2 linked regions of the Caenorhabditis elegans genome follow. The protein of the gene in region 1 purifies or fractionates together with the protein of each later gene. This does not show direct contact. Each region holds a gene or a part of one and is shown on either strand. Other genes may lie near its edges.

Region 1 (9,823 bases):
ATTGTGTGGGAGGATTCTTTCCGTAGAGCAACACAAAAGTCCCCATCCAGGCCAGCAGATAGTGTAAAACAGCCGTCGTCAGTGTTGAAAAAGTGAGAGAGTGTTGGGAACAATAAGAGACGTAGAGTTGGAAGGAGAGTTTACGACAAATGAGAGATTGGGTGAAAAGAGGATGGTGCAGATAAATGGTGTGTGTGGGGGAGAGAGAAGGCTTTGGGATACATATAAATGTATGGGAATAGGAAAGAAGAACGGAAAGTTAATATTTGTATATGCATATGTATTGAGAAAGAAAAGGACGTCCATATAACAACTAATATTCAAATAAATAAAAATAAAAATAAATTAAGAAAGACAACAACTCTGCATTTACCGTATTTTCGCTATTAGTCTTGCATGCGAGACTAATTTTCAATTGGTCTTTAGGGGTGCAAGACTAATAGAGACTGAAAACTATTTTTCGAACTTTGGAAAGTGATACAATTTTGACCGTTCAAACAATGAAAAATACATACTTTCCCAATATTACATCAATTATTTGAACGATTTTACATTTGATTTACTCCAAAAATGATAAATTTGCTTACGTTTCCACAAAGTTCTGCTAATATGACAAAAAGTGGGGTGCTAGACTATTACAGGCTGTAAGACTGATTTTCAATTAGTCTGTAGGAGTGCAAGACTAATAGAGGAAATACGGTACAGTCGGTCCACAGGTCGGTCTTTTGAAAATAGTTTTTTCCATAGCAATTTTTGAAAAAATTTTGAAAAACAATTTTAGGAAAAAATTATGAAAAATCACATCAGTTACATTGATTATACGTACGGTACATTCGATTTCCTGGCGTATGATAATAGTTGCATTAAACCGAAATCAGATTAAGAAACATTGAACTAGTAATTGTAAAAATTAGCATGCAATCTAGAAAATTAGGAAATCTGAAAATTATTAAAGGTGGAGTAGGGCCAATGGAGTAAGTGTTAAAAAATACTCCTATGGTGCCAAAGTGACAAATAATCATAATAAAACTTTTCAAAACTTTTTTGAAAAATTTTTATTCACTGTCAAAAAGTGTTCAATATTCAGTTTTTGCCACTCATAATTTTGGAAGTCGACCAAAAAAAATTATTTTTCCTACATTTTTTATACTGTAATTTTGTTTCAATTATTTTTGTTGAATCATTGTAAAGACCGGAATATGCGACATTGCTTTGGATGTCCTCAAAAGCTCATATTTGTCAAAATTTTGGTAATGTGCCAAAACTTTGACCGAAATTAGGGAAAATCTAAAAATTTTTGTAGTTTTATTATGATATTCGGTCGTTTGAAATCATAATAAGCGTATTTAGACAAAATCCCCATTGACGCTACTCCACCTTTAAATTTTTGAAATTTCGTGTACTTCCTTCAAATTTGTTTAATCATCAACCCGATGCGTCTATCCTTCGTTATCAACAAATTGTAGGTGTCTGTGTCAAGAACTATTGTATCTCGTACAATCGAAAAACCAGTTCCTTCATTTTCAAAACGCTCCCTTATTTTCTTTGTTATCAACAATTCGATTTGTAAAAACGGAACCACATCGATTGTTGTCTCTTGTTATTACATCAATTCCTACACCATTTTCAGTCAAAGTGTGGATATTTTCTGAAAACTGAGCGATTTCAGCCAAATATTTGCCTGTTTTTCATTTTTCAATAAAACTTTGCCATGTTTTCAATCGTGCCCATTGATCTTTAATGAATTCTTTTTCGGGAGAATGTGTAGGTTATTTGTTAACCACCAACTCAATTTTGAACATTTTCCTGTTGACCAAACTTTTGATATTTGCCAAATCTTAGTTATGTAGGTGGGACGAAGATTCTTAAGTAAATATTGCTAGGAATTTGAGTATAAAATAGGAAAAGATCATTCGAGAATTGAAGTTTTCTTTTTGGTTTCTGCTTTTAATTGGCATTGGCTAGTAATATTATTCCACTCTCATTGATCATTAACGGGTAAAAAAAATTGTATTTTTTCAGACAATGCTAACTGCAATTACGATTTCCACCATTTTCATAACATTTTGCTTTGCTCAACAGCAGACAGATTGTTTTTCCGCTCGCGATACTGGAAATTCTGGATGTGGTCAGCAGGGAGCCCGCTCATTTTATTTCCACAAGAATACCCGCACATGTCAGCCATTTTTCTATCAGGTACTGTTTTTTCCAGTAGTCCTTTAGCATACTACCTATATTAGGTTTAGGTTTAGGCTTAAGCTTTGGTTTAGAGTTAGGCTGACAAGGGAAGCCTTTCAGCTCGTCCTCGGACTTCCGAATGAAACCTATTATAATTGAAAGAGGACCTTAATAGAAGGTCACTCCAAAATTTTTAGTCTCGGAGGAGGCTTACTAGGGAACCGTCAGAAGGTGCCCATCGGACTTGCATATGAGACCTATGCCATTCGATAACCCATGTCTTAAAACGGTTACTCGTGAATTTTTAGCTGCGAATCTCCAGAACCAAGCTCACGGCGAGCTCTCAAAGATCTTAAAATAGCACTGTAACGAAGCTTTGAAAGGTCAATTTTCCAAATTCACTTTGGTAGCTCATATCTCCGCCGATAAATTTTTTACAGAAAAGTCATCAACTAAAAAGTTGTTGATATTGTTGTAAAGAACAAGTTTTTAGTTAAATCTGAAACAACAATTTTTTTGATAAAAACTTTCAACTACAAGTTTTTATCAAAAAAATTTTTAGTTGATGACTTTTCTGTAAAAAATATATCCACGGAGATATAGGCTACCAAAGTGAATTTGGAAAATTGCTTCTTTTCATCGTTACAGTGCTTCGTTATAGTGCTATTTTAGAATCTTTGAGAGCTCGCAGTGACCTTGGTTCTGGAGATTCGCAGCTAAAAATTCACGAGTAACCGTTTTAAGACATGGGCTATCGAATGGCATAGGTTTCATATGCAAGTCTGATGGGCACCTTCTGATGGTTCCCTAGTTAGGCTTAGGTTTTGTCATAGGCTAAGGTTAGGCTTATGCCCAGGCTAAGGGCCATACTTACGGTATATTCTTAGCTTGTGCTTGAGCTGATGCTAGGAATATACCTTATCTTCTCACAAACGGAAATTTCTCGTTGAATTTAACAGAATAGTATACTTCTTGGAAAAACGTTCAATTAAAATGAATAAAACAATTTTAGGGATGCGACGGCAACTCCAATCGATTCCAATCGAAAGAGGCTTGTGAATCAGCTTGCCGGAACGCGACTGCTTCTGACGATTTAGCTTACGGTTAGTTGAACAATGGATGACAAAGGTGTATAATAGTTTTTCAGCTGTATGTCCATCTGGAGCATACCCAGCTGGAGCCACTTCTGGTCAGACTGTTGGATGTTCGAATTGCCCACATGGTTACGAGTGTCAAAATCAACAATGCTGTCCAACAAAAGGTTACTATTTTCTGAAGAGATTTTGAAAAGTTATAGTGATCTTTAAAACACAAGTTTAAAGCGGTTTGTACTTTGTCTGAACACTGGTGTTTTAGAACTAAAAACTCTGTTTCGATGTGTAAATATTTATTCAAATGTGAAAGAAGCACAACAAAAGATCGAAGAAATTTGCAGAAAACACATGTAGTTTGCAGTACGACGCTGGAAAATTCGGATCTAGTGGAAAACATACACCCAGGTAAGAATTCAACTAATTTTTATTGTACTTTCACGGATTCAATAAATTAAATTTCAGATATTTCTTCTCAAAGTCCTACAAGAACTGCATGCTGTTCACTTTCTATGGCCGCGATGGAAATGCTAACAACTTTGCTACGTACAACGAATGCAAAAACTTTTGCATGTAACATTTTAGCAAATAACAGTAGTTTTCTTAATGTATATAAATATTTCAAACGAAAACAATTTATTTTGCACAAAGACCTATATAAATGAATCATGCAAGTTGATAAAAATTACCAAAAAATCAAGTAAAGACGTGTTTAAATATCTTAATACTAGTTCAAAATAGATATTATTTACAGTAATATCACGGAACAGAGAAACTGGAATATCATAATAACTTCTTGCCACGATTTTAGTGGATAATCAATACATATAAGTACGAATAAACATAGTCATGTACTATATTACGTTAATTGAAAATTTTTCGGTAGCATTTCTAGTTTTATAGTTATACTTATTTGAAAAATTAGTGAAATTATCAAAAAACTAAAAGTGGATATCTTTTCGGCCAGCACTGTAATTGAATGTATTGTTTTCGCAGTTTTTTTAAAAATCATTTTTTATTTTGTTACTTACATTCGAGCGCACCCTTCAGATGTCTGCCGAAATAGCTTTTCTAAAAACTTGTGAAATTGAAAAGAGTTCAAATTTTCGTTGCAAAATCTTTTAATACATTCGGATTAAGAAGAATTTGTGTAAAACAAAAATGCTCAGTTTTCAATGTTTGCATGTTTTGAACAAATGCCTTGTTTAATGTTCTTAAAATCTTTTAAAACCAAAAACTCAAAGTATCAAACGCTATTGAAAACATTTATGTAGTTTAATTCATTCCTTGTTTCAATGCTTCATTCATTGTTTTCTGATCATCCAAAATGTTTGCTTCTTGCGTTATTCGATCATAAAAATAAAACGGTTTCAAAAAGTTCCGCTCGAGGCCAATTTGCAGCAGAGGAAGATGGAAGTGCACGCGCATCGAAGCAGTTTACAACTTCTCATGAAAGTGGAATCAAGACACATCCGTGGAAAATGATTCAGTTGAAGCTACAATTGTGTGAAATTAACGCCTACAAGACAATCTAAACAATCAGAATTGAACTTTCAAGATGTTTTCTTTCCTTTAGACAAAGTTTGTAAAATACTCAATTTTGTTCTATAGTAATTTTTGATAATGCTGTTTTAGGAGTTTCTGTCAATTTCAAAATGCTTCGTCTTCTTATTTTGCCAACAATATTGATAATACCTTTCTCAAATTCATGCATGACAACTTATCCAGCAGACACTCCTATTATGTAAGTTTCATTATTGTTGCCTTAAAATAATATATATATTCCTAAAGAACGCAACCTCCATCTCCAGATTCACCATCATCTTCCAATGGCTCCAGCACCAGTCTTAGCGAAAATTTGAATAACAACTCCGTTTCTAACCAAATCGAATATGTTAATCAAAATAATAATAGTGATAATTTTACAGTCGGCCTAGGATTTTTAGGGGCTTCTGGAAACTATGGAAATTATAGTTCACATTTGAATAATAACCTTTCTATTAGTCAAAATCAAAGCGTTTCCCTAAATTCTTCAAGTTCTAGTGTAGGAGCTGGGTTAACGCCTGGAAACGGATCAGTGGGTAGCACATCCAACTCCAGCTCGGCAGCTAGTTCAATTCAAAACATAGGTTTAAACAGTAGTCTGATCAACTCTAACACTAATAATTTGTCAAGTTCTAGTCATAGTATGTCAGGATCGAACAATAATAATAGTAATAATAACGTGGTTAATAATTATTTGACCGTTTATGGTAATAATGGAAGCTCTGGAGGTGGTTCCGGAAGTGGAGGTGGAAGTGGACCGGGAGCTGACTCACCAAGAATTCATTGCTGCCGTCCATGTTGTCCATATAGTCATCACCGTCGGTTGTGTGATCCTTGCTACTGCTCCAATCGACCAGAGTCACACCGAGATTCTTCTTCGTCCGAAGAAGTAAACGATGCGCAAAGTGATGAAAACACTTATTTCCAATGTAAGTAAAAATCAACTTTAGGAGTAATTTTTAACATTTGAAAAAAATGTTTCGATTGCAGAATATTTTCCATTTGTTACTCCACCTCTCTCTTTCTCTCTCTCTCTCTTAAATACTAACTCCTGTTGTTGCATTACTATTTTTCAGTACACTAATTTTTAGAGACTATAAAAATCATCATAATTTTTCTGATAGCGTTTTTTGTTGAATGGGTAAAGTATCCCTGTTAACCAAATTTAAAAACTTCAACACTTAAAATTGTCACTGGGAACCATTTCCTATCCACAAAAATTTCCAACGACACTACTGAATTCTCTCACTTGAAAGAGTTTCAGATATGTAACTTATAAAAAGTTTTCCCGTTCATACTGTTATCATTAACTTCCCCTGTTAATAACGCTTTAAAATGTTATGTTTCAGTTGACTTCATTGGAGTGGACGGACATCATGCTCGGCGAGTTTTACCTCCGAGTTGGAGGATTCTACGTAATTCGAAAGCTGAATCATCTGATGAATCGTCTTTAAGTGGTGAACAAAGAAGACCATGTGAAAACCGACGGCATAATAAATTTAGATGCCGTTCAAACTGTGGATCTTCCGAAAATTCCTCAGAAGAAAATACGTTGTGTCTATTCGATAGATGCAGAAGAAATAGAAGGTGCGGTGCTTTTCATAGATGTGCTCATCTTCCATGTTGTAAATTTGGAGGGAAGAAGTGCATGTTGGAATGCATCAGATCTAGCTGCCTTCCTAGATATGTAGAATGTCATCGAAGGCGGCGTTGTTCAAGAAAACAAAGATGTCACACAACAACACAACCACCAAGCCCCACGACAGAATCACTTCCAACTTCTACAACAACCTACGAAATGAATACAACGTCATTGGAAACTTCAACCACTGATATATCAACAATTACATCAACGGAAGAACCCATCAGCACAACGGTGAAGACACATGAACAATCGTCCACTTCCGGCATGGAGTTTTCCACGATGTCGACAACTTATGAACCAATAACAACGACTTTGGAAACTTCAACGACTGATATTTCAATAATTACATCAACAGAAGAACCAGACACCAGCACGACGACGGAGTCGAATGAACAATCGTCCACTACCGGCATGGAGTTTTCCACGATGTCGACAACTTATGAACCAATAACAACATCTTTGGAAACTTCAACCACTGATATGTTAACTAATACATCAACAGAAGAACCTGACATCAGCACGACAATAGAGCCAAATGCACAATCAACTACTTATGAAATGGAGTCTTCTACTGTATCGGTCACATATGAGCCAGAAACAACATCTTTAGAAACTTCAAGTACTAAAGTATCATCCACAACAGCAACGGGTGAACCTGCCAGTACGACGATGGAGGCGAATGAACATTCATCCACGTTTGAAACTGAGTCTTCTACTGTGCCAGCTACTAATGAACCTATAACAACGTCATTTATCCCTTCAACTACTGATCTATCAATTATTACTTCAACGGAAGAAGCAAAAATCAGCACGACAATGGAAACAGATGAACTATCAACCACAACGGAGTCAAGCTACTCCACAACTCAGTTTACAACCTTCAAAATCCCAACATCCTCATTTTCGACGCTTCCTATGGAAGGAACTTCTACAAAGGAGCAGACTACTCTGTCTACAGAAGAAACATCTTCAGCCACAACAGCGACCATTTTTGAAAAACTTTCTACAACTCTATTCTTTGAAGAAACACAAGTAACATCAACGTCTGACTTTACATCGTCTCCTAGAAGTATTGAAACAACACGTGTCATAGAGTTCGATACTTCAACGGAACTGCAAACGACTTCCAAAACCTCTACCACTACAGAAGATACAACAACAGTGGGGACGACAACTGAAATGGAGATGAGAAGATTCTGGAGACTATTCGGATGACCGGATATATTTTATTTCTTGATATGTTTCTGTTTTGAGTATTTGATTTCGGGTAAATGAATGGGTTACATTATATATTTTTTGAAACTATTTAACAAAACTAAATAAATTTTGAAAAACTATTCAAAGTTCTCTGTTCGCTCACTACAACTCATGTTCTATCATAATCATATACGTTTGTTTTCTTCAATTAAAAAATTCATTCCTTAAGAGCATCACTTGAAATTAAAGATCTGTTTAAAATATTGTCGGTACGGTTTTTGAAGATAAATCATCAAAACGGTAGATGAAACACCATGTAGGGAGATTATATTACGTGCTAAATTTCCACTGCCTTGGTCGGAAATGTTATATGCTCCCATTATAGCCAACCAAGCAGAAGGTAGAACTACGAATAGTAGTGGTATTAAAATCTTAAAAAAAAAGAAAAAAATGAAAAAAAAAAAATTGAAACACAGACCTGTAATTTTATGGATTTCACGAAATCCCGTTGTAGTTGTAAAGTTTTATTGGACACGATCATTTTTCTTACTGCCCAGTTCATATTCACTTGTAGCAATGTTCCGAACACTATCATTTCAATAATTATAATTATCGTAAAAACTCTTTGAGAGTACACTGGGATCCACGGAAAATCGAGAGCCATAACGAATATAGGATTTTCAGGCGAATCAAATTGAATAAGCTCAGGATGTACCATAAATAATTGTTGCCTTGGAAGATATTGGTCAGGCATAGCATAATAAGTTGGAAGATAAAATGCCACTCCAAAGGTGATGTTGAACACTTTGAACGGGTATCTGACATGCCGCCACCAAGTTTTCTCTGCGAAGAGCACGAAGAAGCGGTTCTCGAATAACTGAACTGTGGATATTGCACAAACTGAAAATAATTTGAAGAATCTGGTTTTTTGTGGTTTTTGATGGAGGTTTTACGGTTTTCGGTTACAAGGTAATTAAATGAAAATTTCAACCTACATGCTGCAATAGTCATTCCAAAATAAATTTGAGCTCCCGTCCCTATACCTATCATGTGTAAAAACCCTAAAGGAATTCCGGCCATTGTAGTAGAGAAAAGGTATGGTTGACCCACACAGGTCATAATCATATCATATGCCATAGACCACATCAGAAAATTTAGCAGATGAAGTTTTGTAGAACACATTGTCGGTGGAGTCTTTGCGATAATACAGTATACGCCAAATAGTTGAACTGGTAGTGATATCACAGCTATCGAGTACTGAATTGTTGAGTAAACGGGAATCGAGCCAAAAAATTTCAAGAACATGTCTGTTTTGAGATAGAAAAGAGAATGCATCAGAAAACTGAAGCCATTTTATGAAGAAATATTTGAAGGTGGTTATTATACGAAGCACATGATGTGTATAACCAATAGTTTCACATAAGTGAAAATTATGAGCGAATAATAAAAAAGAAAGAGGAAACTAACCCTACAACGCAGATTTATGGGGGTGTGATCAAGCTGGAAACAATCTTCGACCGTTTGCGAGTCGCGGTGTTGCTCATTGTGCCCGATTCCGCTGACAATCGTATGTCGAGTAGGCCAATTCTGCAAAAATCCTGGTGGACAGACACCTCAAAAATTAAGTGTGAATATGGGCTGAAAGACTAATTTTCATGGTATGTAGTTTGTCAAGGCGCAAGACTACTAATAAAGGCTACTATTATAAAGAATACTAGAAGCTGCACTTATAGAGGAAATATCTCGACATTTGGCTTCAGCTTCTTGCCCAAGTTTGGCCAGAAAAATATTAACTTGGAACAGAAGTTGGCTAAACTTGGGCAAAAGTTGGGCAAGACTCTGGCAAAACTTGGATTTATGCTGCGCCAAAGTTTAACCCAAGTTTGACCCAACTCTTGTCAAATTTTTGTCCACATTTAAAGCTAAAAAAGGAAAGTTCGGGCCAAGCTTGGGTTTAACTTTGGCGCAGCTTAAATCCAAGTTTAGCCAACGTCTTGCCCATCTTTTTCTCAAGTATATCCAACTTCTGACCCAAGTCAATATTTTTCAGGCCATACTCGAGCAAGCTCTGGAATCAAATGCCGAGTATTGTATACCTATGCAAGAAGTTTATCAAAGCTTAACTGATCAATAACCCATATTTAATCTATATTTTCATTTTTAATAC
Region 2 (9,823 bases), on another chromosome or scaffold:
AGAGAGATGCGTAAAGCAGATTGAATGGGTTTTCGGAGGAATATTTTTTTTAGAAAGTGAAGGTTTCTATTGTGAAAAGGGTGGGCTTTCACCGATTCCGTTGAATTTCCAAATATCAAAAGACCGAGTAGAACATCATCATTAAGATATTTATCCACATTTCGTGAATAACCTCATTAGAAATCAAATTCAGTGGTTTTTGACGAGAGCTGAGCACAAAGAACAATGTCGTGCACACGCGACTAAATTCAAATGGTGTGCAGTCATATGGTTTTGGCGGGAAGTGCCGTGGAGCGTTATTGCACTCACGGTAGATGTCGGTGGTTGGTGTAAAAAATGGTGGATTGAAATTATGGAATTGAACTTTAAAATGTATATTTCCGTAATAATAGATACACTTATTGGGCTCGTAAAATTAAACAGAAAAGATACTCAAAGATTAAAATTTAGATAAATTTTGACGCCATGCGCATGACTAATGTTTCTATTTATATTTTAAATATTATACCAACTGGAATTTTAAATTTAGATGTCCTATTGATCTATTAATTTTGACTGAATTGAAAAAAAACAACTATGAGAAACAGAGCAACAAATCGATGGCAACATCGTGCACAAGAGTGTCATCGCATAAAAAATGCAGTTTGTCATTCTTCAATGCGACTACATGAGAGCCCGACGAAGAAGATATGCTGAAAAAAAGAACATCGAATCGGTGTCGAGAATCTGAATGACATAAGAAGATGCAGCCGCTGGTTTATTGATGCTGGCAGCTAATCGATTATGAATGGGTAATTAGAAAACGATCGGTATATTCTATTCCATTCCCTTCCTATTTATGCTGCGGTCGATAAAACGCTAAATCGATAAAAAGTTTAGTCGTTGTAAGATTGAGCAGCAAACAAAGAATGGTGCCGTCCACCCGTTCGTTTTCGACTGTTTTGTCAATTCAGCGGTCTACGTCACAACGCCACATAATTGTAGGCCAGAAAGGATGTCAGGGGAAATCGATACGAATTATCAGGAATAAGGAAGAAATATTGACCTTGAAAACCCAGAATTGTATTTTAATGGAATAAATAGTAAAAAAGAGGAAGAAATAGTGAAATCAGGGAGTGAAAAGAAAGGAGGCTGGTTATACGATCAAACAACAAACAGGAATGCACTATGGGGTGAGGGTGAGGAGAGTCGCAGAGAGAGAAACGGCTTGCGTCGAACACGCCAGTGGTCCAGCTTGCGCCTTTTCCGTTCCTTGCCCATAGTTTCTATTTCGATTTTTGCACGCTTTTTGCTTTAATGTTTTGAATGTGTATTTCTCTCTTATTGCTTTTAAGAAGCATTTAAAAGCAAAAATAATCAAATTTTAACTTTTTTCATCGTAGTGCGGAAAATTATGTTCAAAATTTGTCAATTTATTTAAAGATAATTCCTTACTCGGTCTTATTAACGCTTCAATCAAAACAATTAGAAACAGTTTTCAAAAATAAGATGAAAAAAGTCCAAAAAATTAAATAAATAAGAACCGACAAATCGATCGATTTTTTAAAATCACTGTGTTCCGTTTGAGACCCTTCGAAAATTCCATGTACCTTTAATTCAAGCAGTTCACGAAACTTTTTTTGGGTACTTAATTTACATTTTCTTTTATTAAAAGCCATTAGAATCTCGAAAGTTAATCTAATTAATCGCTTGAAAATGTCCTGAGAAAAACTCCGTTCTCTGCGTTCAAGTCTTTAATTGATTTACCGTAGTTACGCCAACTTTATGACAGTTTTGTATCATAACTAACCATTTTCCTATGATTCTAATAAAATATATTATTTTAGATGCCGCCGAAACGGAAATCAAATGGAAAAACGCCAGCGAACGGTAAAAAGGGCGCAAAGAAGGCTAGGAAAGAGTCAAGTTCAGAGCACGAACATAGTGCTTCAGAAGGTGAAGAAACTACTGGATTCGATAAGTCGTCACTTCAACGATGTGTGAATTTTGATTTCGAAGCTCTGATGAATGATCCGTCTTTCCAACATCCCGAATTTGTACATACAATGGACCCAGAAGCTTTAAATTTGGAGTTCTACGACAAAAATGGACTTGACAACCCGATACATTTCCGATGTGATCCAAAAAGAATAGGAATGACGTGAGTATTGATTTTTCCAATTAATTGTAAAAATAAATATTTTTACAGACTTCCCTCACCAGATTTCTCAGTGGATGATGTCCTCGAACTGGTAGGCGGAAATCGAATGATAGAAGTTGTTCAAGTCCAGAATCAAGGAAGTGTGAAAATGTCGTTACAGGAATTTATAAACTTCTACAAGTGAGTAATTACAAATTAGTATTAAACACCAATCAAACTTCATTTTCCAGAACGCCACAAGAAAAACGAGAAGTACTGTACAATGTTCTATCTCTAGAATTTTCCCAAACTCCCTTAGAAGATCTCGTAAAATCTCCAGAACTTGTTCGTCAAATCGACTGGGTTGGAAACCAGTGGCCAGATGCTCTGCGCCAGAGGTGGATCTCATTCAACGGAAGAGACAAAAAATTCTACAATCCGCATCATACTTTTCCAAAAGTTCAAAACTACTGCCTGATGAGCGTAGCGAACTGTTATACAGATTTTCACATTGATTTTAGTGGAACATCTGTGTGGTATCATGTACTGAAAGGTCGTAAAGTCTTTTGGTTGATTCCACCAACCGAAACCAACTTTTTTATTTATCAAGAATTTATTAAAACTGTCAACGATAATGCGTTCTTTGGAAAGTCGGTCGAAAAGTGCCACGTGGCTATCTTGGAGCCAGGAGACACGATGCTAATTCCAAGTGGATGGATTCATGCCGTATATACTCCAGATGATAGTCTCGTTTTTGGAGGCAATTTTCTTCACTCACAATCATGCAAAACACAATTAAGAGTTTATCAAGTTGAAAATAAGTTGAATGTGAGTTTTTACAGAAGACTTGTAAATAACAAATTTGAAACATTTCAGATCACTAGAAAATTTCGCTTACCGTACAATGAAGAACTTATTTTCTACGTTATAGCTGATTATGTAAAACAATGGACAGGAAGAGAATATGTGAGACCACTTCGAATCGAAGATGCAAAATATGACTATGTTGGAGACAAATGGAAAACCGCTGGTGGCCATCATAAGAAAATCGAATACTCAGATTACGAAACTGGAGTTGAATTGACAAACGATATGATTAAAGGAGACGAGGAATCCACAAAAGATGGTAGAGTATTTTTTATTTTTTAATGTCAAAAAAGAATGAATGACTAATTTAAAATGGTTTCTTTGATCTTTTTAATATTTTTCTCTCTTTTATATGATTTTAAAATCGAAATTTTCAGAAGTTAAAGTGATTGCAATGCACGCGGAGAATTCACTATTTGGTTATCCTATGGTCAGCAAAGCAACGTTTTCAGCTGACACGGGTCTTGAAGAAGAAGCTGACGAAGATGAAGTCAAGTATCAAGAAACTAAAGGTAAGGAGATTTAAACACGACAGTAATAAAATTGATGAATTTCAGAAGAAATGGATGCTCGACGCGATGCTGAAATCGATGAACTAGCTAATTCAAATTCATTAATTTTCTACAAGAACCGTGTAAGAATTTATCGAATTCAATGAAGTTTCCTCTCGAAATTTACATGTTTTTCAGACGCACGATTTTGTTCGAAATAAATGCGTGCCGGACCACAAACTTCCAATTGGACACGAGCCGCCAATCTACTTTAACGATGATGAGATTTCTAGGATATCCCCTCGACTTTTGGATGAACTTGAAACTCTTGGCACTTATATTCGTCGAAAAGCACGTGTCGAAGTGGCTGAAGGAATATGCCAGCCAGCGTCTCTCATTAACACATTCCAAACTGTTTTGAAAAAAAGACGTTCTGAATTGGTAAGTCAAAAAGACCGATAAACATTGTTGAAAGTAGTAGATAGTGAGAAGTGAAAGACTGTTGAAACGCCTGCGTCTCTATCGCCCTCTTCATCTCGTTCTGCATGCGTCTCTATGGCCTCAAACTGTCGTATTATTTTGCAGGCTATTGGCATAGTGAGAAAAACTTATCTGATCTAGGTTTTTTTAGGTATAATTGAAAAATTGTTTGATGAGCTGTTATTCTTTTCTGCCCTGAACAAACGTTTATTTCGATAATTTTTAGTTACACTAACACTAAGTTTATTTACATTTAGTGCTCTATTTTTGTGTAAAATTATTGTTAATGTCACTTGCCACATCTAATTGTCACATCCATTGTTACAGCCGGTAATTGTACTGCGAAACGCGCGATTCTAAAAGACGATCGAATGATCTCTTACAGTCTGTTTAATAATTTGCAACCGGGGCACTCATAATTTTGTAAATATCTCGCAAAGATCCATCTGTCTTTTTTTTTCAAATTTCCACTACTTAGTGGCGAATAATGCTAGTTTCCTAATTTTTCAGCCGAACTAAAGTCAATCGACTCATACCACATACACCGACACGTTCAATCTCCTTCACTATCTCACTATTATAATCTCATAATCTGTAAATTTTCTAATAATCCGTTCACAAAAAGATATAACAATTCTAATACTAATTATTAATTTGCGTCGAGAATAAATTCCTTTTTGTGCTGCATTAAAATTTTCAAAATGTTTTTTTTTTTGTAGTTGCCCAAGTCTTCATACTTCTCACTATCGTTTAAAGTGTGCAAATTGTTTTTTTTTTAAATTTTAATTGTTTTGACTTTCAGACAGGGAAGAAATTTGAATTCAACCAGATAATGCCTCGAAGATATGTAAGTTTTTATATTGTTATTATTTCTGAAAATTATTGCAATTGGTTGAAAATCTAACTTTCAGACTCGATCCACCATGGAAACCGGTGAATATGACTTCCAGCCGACGCAAGAAGTACCACAAGAATCTGCGAGAAGAAGCACAAGATTCAAAGTTGATAACTTTCCCGATGAGCTTTTAGAATCGGAAGTGACTGATAAGCCTATTATATTGCCTCAACAACCATCATCAGGACCTCTCGAATATCTTCCTGCACCCAAAGATGAAATTAAAGAGGATATTAATGGTTTTGAAGAAGAATTTGAGGAGGAATATGAAGGAATTGGGCAACGTGATGATCAGGAGGAAGAGGAATACGATGCCGAAGAGCCGGAAGATCAAGAGGAGGAAGAAGAAGATGAATATCAAGCCGAAGAATATACTCCAACTCCAGTTACAAGACGTTCTAGTTCAAGACGTTCAGGTGCTAAAAATGATGAATCAGAAGAAGTGTCAGTAAAGAAGGACAAAAAGGAAAAGATGGAGAAAGTTGAAAAAGACGAGAAGAGAAGGAATTCGAAGAGTAAGAAAGACAAAATTTCGAAGGAAAAGAAGAAGAAGGAGAGAGAACGTATTGAATTGGAAAGTCAACTCGATGCAGAGCTCAGAGCTGCTCATGGAGGAGGATCGAGCAAATCTAAAAAGAAAAAGCCAGAGAAGCCGGCATTTGTTGGTGGACTTCCAACTTCATCTATTCAAATCGATCCAGTTGTTTCAAATCCGTATAACTATGATCCCAGAATGGAGATGATGAAGCTTGGAACTGGACAGCTCAAGTCAGCATACAGAAAAACGAAAAATGTGAGTTTTTATCTGTTTTGTTCATTCAATTTTAATATTAACTATTTTAAGAACGTCGAACTTCATATTGAAAAGAATCTCTACAAGATTGAGCCGAAACGAGGAAGTGAGGAAGGAAGTCAAAGCCGCGAGCAAAGTATGGAACCAGAGCACAGTACTCCAGTTTTCACGACTTTTGATGATATAAATGAAGCAAATAATGATCATTACGATGGACAGAAGCCTCCAACTAAAAGAGCTAAATGTAAGTCTTATTTGAAATTTTCGTACTTAAAATTCAAAAAATCAATTTAATTCCAGATGAGGCAATTAGTGTTGACACATATGAAACTCCATCGTCTTCAAGAAATAAAGAACACAAAGAATATCGTCCCAGTCCGAACGCTGCTCCAACTCCATCACCATCCCATCATCAAAAACCAAAACTTTCATCTCCAGCAATGGTCTCATCGACAAACGAATATCAGTTACGAAAACACATGTCGAGCGAACGGCGAAGCAGTGATGCAGGATCGGCAATGAAAAAGGGCGTATATATGCCTGCAATGTCTCGTCAGGATAAGATGATTGCTGAGGGAGCATCTGCTCCCTCGTCACGTCACTCCTCGATCTCATCTGAACGTCGTCCGAGTTTCATACCTGATTTCAACTCTTCTCGTAATTCATCTATTGATACACCATACACTCCGACTACTGTAACACCTTCAAGAGTAAGATTTTGATGCAATTTTTAGCAAACATTTTTCTTATTTTTTCAGTCTTCTTGGCTCCCGAACACGTCGTCCATTAATCGTCACTCAATTGAAGATGATTCTCCAATAGATGTTGTCAATGATTCATTATCACCAATAAATATAGCCAGCTCGCCGACCTACCCAACTGCAATCACTCCACCACCGGTTACTCTCAGCGATTTGAAGAAGGATATGTCAAATGGACGCAAAAGTCATAGTCAGCATCATGACGATGGGTTCGTATAGTATTAAAGAAATTATATATTATAATTTGTATTATTTAGGCACAAGCACAAGATTCCATCAAAAGAAGCGATTGCAGAGCTGAAGCTTCTCGTCGGAAAACTTAAAGCTATCAATGATTCCTAGTTCTGATCTGCTATTCAACTAAGGAATCGATCGTCGCCTCTTTACATTTTCATTTACAATTATTTTCTTGTTTTTAACAAAAATGTTCTTAATCAACAAGTTCGGGCTCTGTCGCAAAATATAAGCTCTCATTTTCCAACATTTGTTTCTATCTTAATGTCCATTAATATATGGTTTTTGTTGTTATCTCGTGTTATTTTAAGTTCCAGCATTTGCGAAAGTTGTCTGAATTTCTTGAATTAACACATCCATTGTTTTTTCAAGCTACCTCAATTTGCAATGTTATTCAAACACCTATTGCTGTTCATTTTTCATTCCAAATTATCTATCTTTACCCGTTTTTTACTCCTCCCATTTTTCAAAAATAATTTTATCTGCAACGTCGTGGTCTGATGATGATTCTCGTACAGAAATTCTTTTTTGCATCTCAATGTTTCCAACTAATTTCCCGTCGATATCCGTTGTTTTTTATCTATCGTATTTTTTTAAAAACAAATGCCAATACCAATTCACGAGAGCTTTACTTGCCTTGATGAACCGTATCTCTGTATTCATTTTTTGTTTACTTGATCCTTTTCTAGTTTTTTCATTTTAATAAAGCAGACGTTAGAATTTATCGTTTACGGACTGGAAAATAGGTGGAAATTCCTTGTAGTCTATACTTTTGCAATAGGAAATTTCCATAATTCAAGCTTAAAAAATTGAATCTTCATAGGCGTACAATGGCAAAGGAAGACGACGAATCGCCAGACGAGAGGTAAAACAAAAAATTTTTAAAAATTACTGAAAATAACAGTTTAGAAGTGAAGCCGCAGTCGTCGTTCTTGGTGATGTCGGCAGAAGCCCACGAATGTGTAATCACGCAAAAATGCTCGCTGATGAAGGATTTGATGTCAAACTTATTGGATTTTTCGATTCTATTCCAGGAGAACAAATTATGAATCATCCAAGGATAAAGTGAGTTTCAGAAAATTTTTATCTAAAAAATTTGCAAAAAAGTTGTTCCGTTTAAAAAAATAAATTTAGTTACAAATCATCCAAAGAATTTTTCCAAATAAATAAAATTTCAGAATAGTTGGAATCCCGCCACCTCCTGACTTCATGGATTCGTTACCAGCTTTCGTGCAACTTCCACTGAAACTTTTTTGGAACTTTATAACTCTTTTCTTGGCTCTCGCTTTTCAAACAAGCGCCTTTAATTTAAGAATTATTCTTATGCAGAATCCGCCGGCGCTTCCGACGATGATAGTTTGTTTCATGGTAGGATTCTACTGACTACCGTTATAAAATATCAACTTTAATTTCAGTTTTCCATATTCAAATTCGCAAAATTCTCAATTGATTGGCACAATTACATGTATTCAATTCTACAAAATAAATACCAATTGACCGATGATCAAGTTTTTGGAAACGATAAAAAAACCAAAAAAGCCCAGTGAGTATTGGACACCGGCATTGTTCCCCGACGCGAAAAAAAACAGTCGGTACTCGGTCTCCACACGACAAATCTTTGTGAAACGAAGAATGACATACGCCTTTAAAGAGTACTGTAATTTATCCCATGAAAAATATTTTTTACGAAAACTGGAAAAATCACATCAAACTGTTGCAGCAACGAATTTGAAACTATAGTACTCTTCAAAGGCGCATAACCTTTCATATTTAACGAAAACTTGTCGTGCCGAGACCGGGCAACGTATTTTAGCCAAAACATTCGCGTCTGTACAATAAATCAAACTCGTATTGAACAATTTACATTTTCAGAATTGTGAGATGTGTTGGATTCCTAGAAGGTCTATGTGGAAAACTATCCGATTATAATCTGTGTGTAACAAATGCCATGCGTCGAGATCTCATGGATCGATGGGGCATCAGAGCCAGCACATTCTATGATAGGCCGCCGACGTGGAAATTTAGGTTTGAACAAATGTGAAATTTCTGAAAATTAATCTCGAAATTTTCAGAGACACAACAATACAAGAGATCCATGATTTGTATCTAAGACTTTCACAAAAGGAACGAATTCTACAAGGAAAAGACGAAGACTCCACAATTCTGACTCATAAATCTTCGAACGGAGTAGTGCAGCTACTAACAACTCGACCCATTGTGTTTCTCTCTTCCACATCCTGGACACCTGATGAACGGTTTGAAATTCTTCTCGATGCGCTGGTTGCATATGACAAAACAATCGGACTCCCGCGAGTTTTGATGATTATCACTGGAAAAGGTCCACTGAAAGCGAAATATTTACAAGAAATTCACGAGAAAAATCTGAAGAATGTCGATGTATTGACTCCATGGTTGGAAGCAGAAGATTATCCAAAGATTCTAGCCTCTGCTGACTTAGGAATCTCTTTGCACACAAGCACGTCTGGATTGGATCTTCCGATGAAAGTTGTTGATATGTTTGGAGCTAAAGTTCCAGCATTGGCTCTAAAATTCAAATGTATTGATGAGCTCGTTGAGGAGAAAACTAATGGATATCTTTTCGATGATTCTGAGCAGTTGAGTCGTCAAATTATTGAACTTTCTCGTGGATTCCCAAATAATTGCAATGAATTGATACGGCTCAAGAAGAATACACAGGAGCAAAAATTCGATTCTTGGGAAGTGATGTGGAAGAGATCAGCTACCTCTGGTGCAGACTTTCGAGTTCCAGACAATGGATTCGCCAAACTTCGTGCAATTATTCAATTCTCATTTTTCGCTATTTTATTGATCATGCCGATTCACTTATTTATGGGCACTTTTTCGGGGGCATTCAGATCGCTTTAATTTTTTTTCGGGGTTTTGTACATTCAATAAACTATTGGCCAAAATTGTTTATCAAAGTGAAATGTTAGAGACAAAAGTGGGACACGCGTTGAGAATCGGAATGAGATTTTACAGGAAGGATCGTTTTGAGCAGGAATGAGTTGGTTATGAGTGATCAGTTCATCAATGAATCTGCAATATTATAAATTATTCAGATAAACTTCAGATTTAAAGAATAGAACTAACCATCGACAGGAGTATCGTCAATAATGTCGTCATCCATTTCAGCATTGACAGAGCTGGATTCAACTGGATTTT

The links.
Region 2: the proteins of crmb-1 (region 1) and algn-1 fractionate together in Caenorhabditis elegans (co-fractionation; one large-scale study listed by BioGRID). This does not show direct contact.

The regions. Positions count from the first base shown.
Region 1 is NC_003282.8:264,426-274,248, forward strand, and holds crmb-1 (Serine/threonine-protein kinase), read left to right. Parts: upstream 1-4,981; coding exon 4,982-5,013; intron 5,014-5,060; coding exon 5,061-5,743; intron 5,744-6,163; coding exon 6,164-6,271; intron 6,272-6,317; coding exon 6,318-6,401; intron 6,402-6,451; coding exon 6,452-7,674; downstream 7,675-9,823. Other genes in the region: T21D12.12 (BPTI/Kunitz inhibitor domain-containing protein), read left to right, coding at 2,026-2,196, 3,191-3,281, 3,326-3,439, 3,614-3,677, 3,735-3,846; srh-282 (Serpentine Receptor, class H), read right to left, coding at 7,890-8,087, 8,135-8,556, 8,652-8,838.
Region 2 is NC_003281.10:6,452,657-6,462,479, forward strand, and holds algn-1 (Chitobiosyldiphosphodolichol beta-mannosyltransferase), read left to right. Parts: upstream 1-7,463; 5' UTR 7,464-7,470; coding exon 7,471-7,505; intron 7,506-7,549; coding exon 7,550-7,705; intron 7,706-7,818; coding exon 7,819-8,008; intron 8,009-8,055; coding exon 8,056-8,183; intron 8,184-8,512; coding exon 8,513-8,665; intron 8,666-8,712; coding exon 8,713-9,526; 3' UTR 9,527-9,566; downstream 9,567-9,823. Other genes in the region: jhdm-1 (JmjC domain-containing histone demethylation protein 1), read left to right, coding at 1,827-2,140, 2,189-2,320, 2,371-2,947, 2,996-3,245, 3,364-3,498, 3,544-3,620, 3,676-3,918, 4,760-4,804 and 5 more; pole-3 (DNA polymerase epsilon subunit 3), read right to left, coding at 9,681-9,697, 9,752-9,823.